Cricetulus griseus: one gene and its partners. The protein of the gene in region 1 purifies or fractionates together with the protein of each later gene. This does not show direct contact. Links are inferred from orthologs where the notes say so. Each region holds a gene or a part of one and is shown in the gene's direction. Other genes may lie near its edges.

Region 1 (3,652 bases):
TAGTCAGTATAAGTTAATGATTGTCACTGCTTCTCAGTTTTCTCCATGTTTATCTTTCAACTATTAATGTTCAACCATCGCTTGTGCACTTTAAAACTTTTTCTCTTCTAAAATGTCTTAGACTGTAATACATATTTTACATTCTGTCTTTCTACCAGCCTTATTTATTTAGCCAATGAGCTCGGTTAGAATATTTTGGTTTCTGCCCTGGTGAAAGAAGAGCAAGTCGTTAGGACAGGGTGCTTTTCCCAATACCCTGACAATAGGATTTCTTCCAGGAAACCAGCTGACAGCTGAAGTTAAGGGGCTAGCAAATAAATCTGGGAGTTAATGACACCATTAACAGTTTAATCTGTCTTGGTGAAATGATTATTAAATATGACAAATGCTCTTCAGTTTCATCCCATACTTTGATTGTTAATATATTTCTATCTAGGTGAAGTTCTAGGGGAAAAAAGATCTATGACTGTTTTGTAACCCTAGTGACTTAACCTGTAGCTGGTGGAGGCCTTGGATGCAATCTGCATGGCTGGAAGCAAGCACAAGGAACCACCTGCCTGTGATAAAATAACCAGGAATGATAATAGATCTTTTAATTACTTTTCCTCATCCATAAAAAGCTTAAAATTCTAGGAACCATCTAATAGAAGTGCAATATCCCAAAGCCCCTTGTAACCTTTGTCCCTCACAGCATATTTGGGGCAATTATCTTCTGAGTAATTTGATTTTAAGATTTGAGCTGAAAGGTGGTAGTGGACACCTTTAATTCCAGCAACCAGGAGGCAGAGGCAGGCAGATCTCTGTGAGTTCAAGGCCAACCTGGTCTACAGAGCGAGTTCCAGGACAGGCTCGAAAACTACAAAGAAATCCCGTCCTCCCCCACCCAAAAAAAAAAGAAGAAGAAGAAGAAGATTTGAGTCTTTTTGTTTGTTCTCACATAGCAAAAGAAATGGGAAAGCCATTGAGTCTTCAGGAGATGAAGACCATTTCTTTTGCTGTGTGAGAAGCTGGTCAGTCAGGCCTGCCCTCAGGCACAGGGGTCTATCTGCCAAAACCCCTGGGCAGAGACCCATTGTGTGCTTAGGATAAAAAATAGCATTGCTCACTGATAATATAGGCCTGGCAAGTTTGGGGACCAGGCAGTTGCTCTCTGTCCTCTTCACAGAGGATTGCTGCTCCACATGGGCCTCAGTTGCTGTCCTGAAGGCTTAGTAGAACCTCCGGGACATCGCCCCTGAGGCAGCTTAATTGTGTATTCTTAGAGATCTCTTTAGTGCCTTATTAATCATCTCCAGTTGTCATCCATCCTCCTTAGTGACCCCTGCCTGGACTTCTGTACCCATCCTGCATCCCCTCCACCACTTCTGGACAGAATGAGATGGGCATTCTTGTCTCCTTGCACCTGCTGGCCTTGCTGTGGAATTCTCAGCTCACACATCTCTCTTCAGCCCAACTGCTGGTCTTCTTCCTTTTCTTTTACTTCTAACCAGGGTTGAAATAGTGGTTGTCAGACTGTGGCCAGCCTCATACTGTCTTGAAGTTAGCTCAATTTAGCTTTAAATTGTGGTCTAAAGGAGGCAGTGCTTCTGAGCTCAGCTCCCTAGATGGGAGCCGGTTTCTCTTCATCCTGAGTGAGACAAGATGCCCACATGGAAAAGATGGATGGGTTCTTCTGAACAACTGTGCTTTTGCAGATACAGTGTCTGTGAACGACAGACCAGTCCTCCCTTCTGCCATAGGACTGCAGTTCTGAAAGGAATTGTTCCCTGCCTTACTGCAATTGTATTACCATTTTCCCAAGAAAATACAGAATTAACTTGTCCTGGATCATTGTTTAGGTTGGAGATTATGGCCCAATGTGGGTTTACCCTACCTCTACTTTTGACTGTGTGGTAGCAGATCCCCGGAAAGGTTCCAAAATGTACGGTCTGAAGAGCTACATTGAGTATCAGCTAACACCTACCGTGAGTACCTGCTCTAAATGAAGCTGCCACAGCTCTTGTTCTCCTTTTCAGTACTTGGCATCCGTAATGCTTTGTTCTTTTTTCCCTTATTTTGCAGAACACTAATCGATCTGTAAACCACAGATACAAGCACTTTGACTGGTTGTATGAGCGTCTCTTAGTTAAATTTGGGTCTGCCATTCCGATCCCTTCTCTTCCAGACAAGCAGGTGACAGGTGAGCATGAGCAATGGTGTTTTAGATGACAGGTGGAGAGCCAGTTATGTTATACTCCTGATGTGCAAGAGTGCAAGTGGTCACTCATGCCTGTGAAGACTGGACAAATGTGGAACTTGCCTGAATATTTCATAGAAACTTATGGTAAAATTTGCCATCAGAGAGCTGTGTCCACACCTTGAATTCTAGAAAAGTCATTGTCTCTATTTCCTTCTACCAGAAAAAAAAAAGAAATACATTTTTTTTACATGTGAGAAACAGAACCTTAGAAATAAAAATTATCTGAACAGCCTAAAATGAAAACAAAAGCTTGAGACCCAAATGACAGGAGACTGCTCTGCCGCCCTGCTCTTTTGTGTATGGGGAACACACGGAGAAGCCAGGGCCTCTGGGTCGTTCATGATGGAGAATTCTTCATTGCTTACTCAAACCCTCTCCCTTTTCTTGTTTACTAAAAAGTGTCGCATTTCTTCCACTTTGTCCTGCCCTTAAAAATCTTGTGGTAAGTAAGCTTTGGCGAGTGCTCAGCAGTTAAGAATGTACACCGCCCTTGCAGAGGACCAACTAGCACCCCATGCTAGTTTCTAGCACCCCATGATTGCCCACAATTCCAGCTTTGCCTCCACGGGCACCTGCATTCATGTGTGCATACCTACACACAGATGCACGAGGTCACACACATGATTTAAAATAATAAAATTATCTTTTAAAAATGAAAAACGGGCTGGAGAGATGGCTCAGCGGTTAAGAGCACTGACTGCTCTTCCAGAGGTCCTGAGTTCAATTCCCAGCAACCACATGGTGGCTCACAACCATCCGTTATGAGATCTGGTGCCCTCTTCTGGTGTGCAGATATACATGGAAGCAGAATATTGTATACATAACAAATAAAATCTTTAAAAAAAAACGAAAAACTCTCTTCTAAGCAGTCCACCTGTCACCAGACACCCCCTCCCCATGCATCTGGGCAGAAAGAGTTTGTTGCCCCTGTCCTTAGAAACTGTCATCTCAGAACAGGAGTCCTCTAGTGTGGGACCAGGGATGAGTGTTTGAGGACTTGGTGATCATAACTTAGGACACAGGATTTATAAAGAGGCTGAGCTTCCCAAAACCTGAGAGTTTCAGTAGAGAGGTAGAAACTGTTCACATGACAAAACCAGTCCACGTAGAAAGGAATGAGTGGAGGGTGACTGTGAGACTTAGCCAGTCGGATCTAGAAGGACCTGGGACAGAGGACAGAGGGGTTGGGAGGAAGCAAGGCCCTTCCCAAAGAGAAGGCCAAAGAAGGCTTAACCCTCAGTAAGAGTTGGGAACTTAGGGAGGGACCACAAATCATCTTATCCTGCCAGATGGCACTGCCTGGGTGAGACTTGAGCATTGCAGCCCACCCTGTCTCGGGGGCTAGTCCTGGGTGCCTTTTCTGTGCTTACAGGTAGGCACTTTGGTCTTCATAGCACACAGCAGGGAAACAGA
Region 2 (3,652 bases), on another chromosome or scaffold:
GTAGAGGAAGGGAAGAACTGATCCCTGCATGTTGTCGTCTGACCTCCACATGTGTGTGGTGGCACACCCACACATATACATAAGTAAATAAACACAAGTGAATTTTAAAAGCTCCACCCCATAGAAACATTTTTTGCCAGGTTGGGGATATAAGGTTCTTACCTAGCATGGTGCAGTGGTTTTTTTTTTTTGTTTGTTTTGTTTTGTTTTAAGGAAATAGCAAGAGGTTTTATTGCAGTTGTTTAATGAGCTAACCCCATGTTAGTTCGGGCCTTTCATCCATCCACCATGGCGGATGGCTAGAAAGATGACGAAAAGCCACTGCATAGAGATCTTATAGGGCAGCGTAAGGGGAGTGTCTAGGGGACATAGTGTAGTTAAAACATCATTTTATCCAGGCAGTGGCAGCACACACCTTTAATCCCAGCACTCAGGAGGCAGAGACAGGTGGATCTCTGAGTTCAAAGCCAGCCTGATCTACAGACGAGTTGTAGAACAGCCAGGACTACACAGAGAAACCTGTCTCAAAAAAACAAAAACAAACAAATAAAAACTAAATCATGATTTGGCACTCAGTGCGGCAGTGAACAATCAGGCTCCCATCTCTCTAGAGGTGGGGGCATGAAGGCTGTGAGTTCTGGCTAGGGCCTTTCATCCATCCACCATGGCGGATGGCTAGAAAGATGACGAAAAGCCACTGCATAGAGATCTTATAGGGCAGCGTAAGGGGAGATTATATAGATAAAAAAATTGTTTTGTTTGTTTTTCAAGGCAGGGTTTCTTTGTGTAGTGTTGTTTGTCCTGTCCTAGAACTAGCTCTGTAGACCAGGCTGGTATTGAACTCACAGAGATCCTCCCGCCTTTACCACCTGAATGGAGTGCTGGGCTTGAAGGCTGTGCCACCACTGCTGGCTACATTAGATTTAAAATTATTTTATTAGTATGAATGTTTTGCTGGCATGATGTCTGTGCATCACCTGCATGCAGTGCCCACAGAGGCCAGAAGAGGACCTCAGATCCCTTGGAACTGTTATGGACAGTTGTGAACGGCCTTGTGGGTGCTGAGAACTGAACTAGAGTCCTCTGGAAGATCAGCAAGTGCTCTTAACCACTGAGCCATCTCTCCAGCCCCAGCATATATCAAGTCTGAAGCCAGCTTGAGTTTCATAGTCAGATCCTCTCTCAAAGAAATGGCATCAACACAGGGCTGGAGAGATGGCTCAGTGGTTAAGAGCACTGACTGATCATCCAGAGGACCTCAGTTCAGTTCCCAGCACCCACATGGCAGCTCACAACCATCTGTGATTCCAGTTCTAAAGGATATGACACCCTCTTCTGGCCTCTGCAGGCACCAGGCACACACATGGCACACAAACATATATGTAGACAAAACTCACATACACATAAAACAAATAATTAAAAAAGAGAAATTGCATCAGCAAAAAATCATTTTGGCCACTTTGGATCAGTGGGTAGGGGAGTGGAGAGAGGGGGAGAGGAATGGTGTGGAGGGTTTGAGAATGCATGAAGTCTTCCTAGTGAGGACTGCGGCGGGTGTGACAGTCCTCCATGGCCACTCTCCAGGTCAACGCACCATTGGGGTCATCACCAAGTTGGATCTGATGGATGAGGGCACAGATGCTCGGGATGTGCTGGAGAATAAGCTGCTCCCTCTGCGCAGAGGTAGGCAGAAACTGCTCAGCCTCTCTCTCCCTCATCCGCCTTCCCTGGAGGCTGCCTGCCTCTGACCTTGGCCCTGTTCCACAGGCTACATTGGTGTGGTGAACCGCAGCCAGAAGGACATCGATGGCAAGAAGGACATCACAGCCGCCTTGGCTGCCGAACGCAAATTCTTCCTCTCTCACCCGTCCTACCGCCACTTGGCCGACCGCATGGGTACACCCTACCTGCAGAAGGTCCTCAACCAGGTAGGGGAGCAGGCCTGGCCAGGGCCCAGGGAAATGAGAATAATCTCAAGTGCATCTTTTCTTGTTTGCTGGTGTGTGTGTGTGTGTGTGTGTGTGTGTGTGTGTGTGTGTGTTTTAAGCATTTTATTTCATATGTATGGGTGTTTTGTCTGGAGCTCAGGGAAATCAGAAGAGAGCATCAGGTCCCCTGGAACTGGAGTTGCAGATGGTTGTGAGCTGCTGTGTGGATGCTCTTGGCTACTGAGCCGTCTCCCCTGCCTGCTTTCTCAGTGCATCTTAAGGGTGACCAGTGCTGATTAGCATCCACTGATTCGACAAACTGAGACCCAGAGAAAGGAGGCTTCCTCAGTCTCAGTCCCACTGGGAGTTAGTGACAAGAATTCTGCTGACTTTTCCTGTCTGGGGCCTGGAAGGGGAGCCCTGGGACTCCCAGCATGTATAAAAGACCAAGATTTTGTGTGGATGGTGGTACTGACTAGTGGGGACTGGAATGTATTCACCTGGACATCTTGGTTCTCTCGGTTGACCCAGGGACTGGAGGGATGGCTTGGAGGTTAAGAGCACTGACTGCCCTTTCAGAGGTTCTGAGTTCAATTCCCAGCACCCACACATCTATGATAGGATCTAATGCCCTCTTCTGGTGTGTAGGTGTACATGTAGAGGACTTGTATATAAAATAGCTTTTTTGTTTGTTTTGAGACAGGGTTTCTCTGCATTGTTTTGGAGGATGTCTTGGAACTCGATCTCTGTAGACCACACAGGCCTCGAACTCACAGAGATCCACCTGCCTCTGCCTCCCAAGTGCTGGGATTAAAGACGTGTGCCACCAACACTCGGCATAAATAACATCTTTTTTTAAAAAATACAGTCCTAAAGTAGCAACAAAAATAATGTTATGGTTGGGGTAACCCCATGAGGACCTGTATTAGAGGGTTGCAGCATCAGGAAGGTTGGGAGCCACTGCTCTACAGCCTCTGCCCTGGTGCTGCCCAGCTCTGTGCCTCACTGTATCCACACAGCCTCCAACATCACTTCCCCTGCCCGACCCTGTGGGCATCTAGGGCTGTGAGCTTGGTTTTAACCTTTTCCTTACCCACCACGCCTAGCAACTGACCAATCACATCCGGGACACACTGCCGGGGCTTCGGAACAAACTGCAGAGCCAGCTGCTGTCCATTGAGAAGGAGGTGGAAGAGTACAAGAACTTCCGACCCGATGACCCAGCTCGCAAGACCAAGGCCTTGCTGCAGTAAGACTTCTGGCCCCGGTCTCCAGGGCTAACTGCTACAGCCCCTGCCACCCTCCAGGGCCCAGGGCTCCCACCAAGTCTTCTCAGGCCACGCCCCTCTCCCACACAGGATGGTCCAGCAGTTTGCAGTGGACTTCGAGAAACGCATTGAAGGTTCCGGAGACCAGATTGACACCTATGAGCTGTCAGGTGGAGCACGCATTAACCGGATCTTCCATGAACGCTTTCCTTTTGAGCTGGTTAAGGTAGGGCATTGCAATCCCAGGCAGGAGGGTGGGCCCTATCTCTACCTCCTGTGGCAGGGCTGGCCCTAACCAGTCTTCTGTCTGTCCACCACAGATGGAGTTTGATGAGAAGGAACTCCGAAGGGAGATCAGCTATGCCATCAAGAACATTCATGGGATCAGGCATGTACTGGGACCAGGGTGGGGTCTGCACACTGTTAGGCAAGGGGCACTGGGCTTACAGGAGACTC
Region 3 (3,652 bases), on another chromosome or scaffold:
AGTTTGGTATTATGCTGGTTCCCCATTTGTCAGACCTGAGTCAGTGATCTCTCACTAGCTCGAGCCAGAAGCCAATACTTTTGATCTAATATTGTGTCCATTTTTTCTTAAGAAAATTTCTACTTATACAAGTTGATATGATAGTTTGAATAGTATGCTGCTAAATCTAAAATACTGCATTTAAAAAGAATTGAGCAAGTGCTATATCCAAGTTACCTAGTATTTGTGTAAGATAGCATTCCATCCTAATGAAAAGTTTAGTTGGTGGGTATGTGCACACCCCAGACCTACAGTCTTTAAAAACAGGGTACCATTTTTTTTTTTGTTTTGTCATTTAACCAGCCACAATTGTATTTTACCATTTGGTAGGCTTGATGGTGAAAGAACATTTATAGTACTTAATTCTTATCTGGAACTTAGCAAATTTGATATTTTCAGAGAATTATCAGTCTTAGTAACTGCTGAATTGTTTTGATAGCTGAGGAACAACATGGGTAATTTGAGTTGTTCTTAATTAAGATATTGTTTCTTTGATAGAATCCTGACATAAATATATGCATTTCTTTGCTTTTGTTTGTTTTAGAATATGCAGAATTTCTACATTGCAAAGGAAAAAAATTTACAGATTTTGATGAAGTTCGCCATGAGATTGAAGCAGAAACAGACCGAGTGACGGGAATGAATAAGGGTATCTCTTCTATACCCATTAACCTCCGAGTCTATTCTCCACATGGTAAGTGTAATATTTAAATTTGAATGATTCTCCTCAGACATTACTTACTAGACAAATTCACATTCATTGTAGAACATTCGAATAGTGCGGGTCTCTGGATGTTTGGGTTGTGGTGCCTATGGTACAATTCAAAGAGCTCAGACTATATAGAGAGAGGCAGGAGGGGACTGACTGATAAGATCCAGAATTTACTTGAGAATTGAAAAAAATCCTTTTTTTTTATTATGAACTTTCAGAACATTGGGAGGTGGGCACATGAATTTATTATTATTATTATTGTCTTTAGTCTTTGCCAAAAAATTTTAGAGGTATATGGTTGAGTCCTTCCCTGTTAATCTCCTTGTAGACATTTTATATTTCTACTTATTCTATTCCAGGGGAACAAAATGCAATTTTTATCACTAGACAGTCATCATAAATTCATGTAGGGACTTGGTACCCACACCCAGAAGACAGTAGTTGAGTTGGACTGCCATCACCTTGCCACCAACTGCTTGTACAGCCCACTTACTCCACTCGAAGCACCACAAATGGCTCACAGCTTCCCACAGGCTAAGTGGCTAACCTTCTGCAAATAACATACGATGCTTTCAAAGGGGAAGGGCAACTGTTACCCTGAAAATTTTTTATACCACTTGAAGGCAATGTTTAAGACCGGCAGACAGCATATGCATGTATTGTTGGGTGTTTTAATTATAGCTGTCTAGTTATGACAGCGAGGGGATGACAGCTCTCTCAGCAAACTGGTAGGCATGTAAATCAATGCCTTTCAGAGTATGTTAAGATGATCATTTGGCTTAGCTCAATCATGTAAAAATAGAGAAAACTAGCAAACCCATTTTGTATTCAATGCCTTTCCTTCTCCTCACTTGTGATGGAGTCATCCACATACACAACACGTAAAGCTGAGATAAGTGGCAGCTGATGCAGCCACCTGGGGTGTCTTTTCGACAGCCTTATGGGTATCTTTTGGATAGAAGGTATCTGTAAGACTCTTCCCATTCTTTCCCACACAGTGTTAAATCTAACGCTAATCGACTTACCTGGGATAACGAAAGTGCCCGTGGGAGACCAGCCCCCAGATATTGAATATCAGATCAGAGATATGATCATGCAGTTCATCACAAGAGAGAACTGTCTGATCTTGGCTGTCACTCCAGCCAACACCGATCTTGCGAACTCCGATGCACTGAAGCTAGCTAAAGAAGTTGATCCTCAAGGTGAGTGTGTGACAAGTATCATAAGAAAGAATATGACAAGAGTTTTGGTCATATTTACAGGTAGCCCAAATTCTCATGACTTGATTTCATAAGGTTCAATAAGGTTAATGTTGGTAAATATTTTATATTTCAAGTGCCAAAAGAATAACTAGGGAATACAGTCAAATACCACATGATTAAAATTAATATCCAATGAAATCCAAAAACACAGGCACTTTCAATCTCAGAGTGCTTATTTTTAAAGGTTAATAAAATAAATTTCTGCAATAGCAGAATTCTATTTATTTAGTTATTATAGGAGCTACCCAAATGTCTCAATTAGCACACTTTCTATTGTCTTTTGTTTATTATTTCTTGAAAATAGGAAATGTTAAAAAACAAACATAACAGATTATTTAGGCTGTATTTATTTGATATATATTATAATACTAGGGATTATTTTTCTTATTTGTATGTTAGAATCCAGAAAAGTCTCTTCCTTATGCTGATGTTTTAATTTTCCCTTTCTCTGAGTTGAAAAATGACGATCTCTCTTCAAAGATTTTATTGGCACACCTTGGGGTGTGTGTGTGTGTGTGTGTGTGTGTGTAAAGAAATGATCAAAAGGCTCTCAGATGTGCTCTTGCAACATGGAGGTGCATGGTCCTCAACTCTAGGACTTCCAACATTTGTTATGATTGATTGTCCCCATTTATTTGCTCTCTTTGTTTTTAATGCTTGCTATTTCTTATTTTCTCCTGTTTCTCTTCTAACATTCATTTCTCAGCCTTTTTTGTTTTACACATTTGCATTCTCTCCTCTAACTCATTTTTTTATTTATGATAGAAATGTTGAAATTCCAAGAGCATTCTTTTATTTTATGAATGTTATTTTTTATATTTTACAAATAGCAGCCTGCTCTTGGATTCATGAGTGCAACGATTGAGGACTGATCAGAACTTTTCAGTCTTCTTTTATGCTTCTCTTATACTTAATCTCAGAGGCCATTGCTTTCTTGTTGCCTTGGTCTCTGTCTTGGATACTAGAGACCTCTGTCAAACACATAATGGCGGTCTGTTTCTTGCTTATTGATGAGAGTGAAACGCTGACAAGCTGATACATCTGCAGGATTGGGATCCATTGGTTAGTAGGCTCTACATACAGCAATTGGGCTGTGACTGGATCATTTTTGTTGGTAGAATTTCTGAGCTGCTAGAGATGGTCTCAGGTAGGCTATATGCCTATTTGAAGCCAAGAAGACTTGCCCTGGCCATGGTGTGCTTAGAAGAAGGCATTGTCAAGCACTTCTGCCTGTCTTCTGCCCCTTCCTTTCTTTCTGGATAATCCATGAGCGTTAAGGGAGTAATAAAATCCATTTTGTTAATGTCTGCCTTTTGCCTGGAGTGTTTAATTTATTTAAATTCGGTGACATTACTCACAGCCTTGAATCTGTATGTCATTTTGTTTTTTTATGTTATATCCTATGTCTTTGATGCTCTGATGATGTCTTCCTTTGTGTCACAATCCAGTTTTCAGTGTATCACTTTGGTTTCTTGTCATTCATTTACCTGTCTTTGAAGTTATTTTCGTAGTGATTTCTCTAAGAATACTCTTAAAATTAAATTATAGAAACTTTGTTTGGATCAATGTCAACTTAATTTTAACTGTACCAGGAACTCTGCTGCTTTTTGATAGCAATACTAATCTTTTCTAGACACTT

The links.
Region 2: the proteins of Snx9 (region 1) and Dnm1 purify together in Homo sapiens (co-immunoprecipitation; 6 studies listed by BioGRID and IntAct, counting the BioPlex papers as one, with this or other methods). This does not show direct contact. The link is inferred for Cricetulus griseus from reciprocal best matches to the Homo sapiens genes SNX9 and DNM1.
Region 3: the proteins of Snx9 (region 1) and Dnm3 purify together in Homo sapiens (co-immunoprecipitation; 3 studies listed by BioGRID and IntAct, counting the BioPlex papers as one, with this or other methods). This does not show direct contact. The link is inferred for Cricetulus griseus from reciprocal best matches to the Homo sapiens genes SNX9 and DNM3.

The regions. Positions count from the first base shown.
Region 1 is NC_048595.1:287,025,800-287,029,451, forward strand, and holds part of Snx9 (sorting nexin-9), read left to right. Parts: intron 1-1,838; coding exon 1,839-1,964; intron 1,965-2,061; coding exon 2,062-2,179; intron 2,180-3,652. UniProt on the Homo sapiens protein: Involved in endocytosis and intracellular vesicle trafficking, both during interphase and at the end of mitosis. Required for efficient progress through mitosis and cytokinesis. Required for normal formation of the cleavage furrow at the end of mitosis.
Region 2 is NC_048599.1:144,070,801-144,074,452, reverse strand, and holds part of Dnm1 (dynamin-1), read left to right. Parts: intron 1-1,584; coding exon 1,585-1,683; intron 1,684-1,767; coding exon 1,768-1,928; intron 1,929-3,034; coding exon 3,035-3,177; intron 3,178-3,286; coding exon 3,287-3,422; intron 3,423-3,516; coding exon 3,517-3,584; intron 3,585-3,652. UniProt on the Homo sapiens protein: Catalyzes the hydrolysis of GTP and utilizes this energy to mediate vesicle scission and participates in many forms of endocytosis, such as clathrin-mediated endocytosis or synaptic vesicle endocytosis as well as rapid endocytosis (RE).
Region 3 is NC_048598.1:29,774,625-29,778,276, forward strand, and holds part of Dnm3 (dynamin-3), read left to right. Parts: intron 1-583; coding exon 584-733; intron 734-1,749; coding exon 1,750-1,953; intron 1,954-3,652. UniProt on the Homo sapiens protein: Microtubule-associated force-producing protein involved in producing microtubule bundles and able to bind and hydrolyze GTP. Most probably involved in vesicular trafficking processes, in particular endocytosis.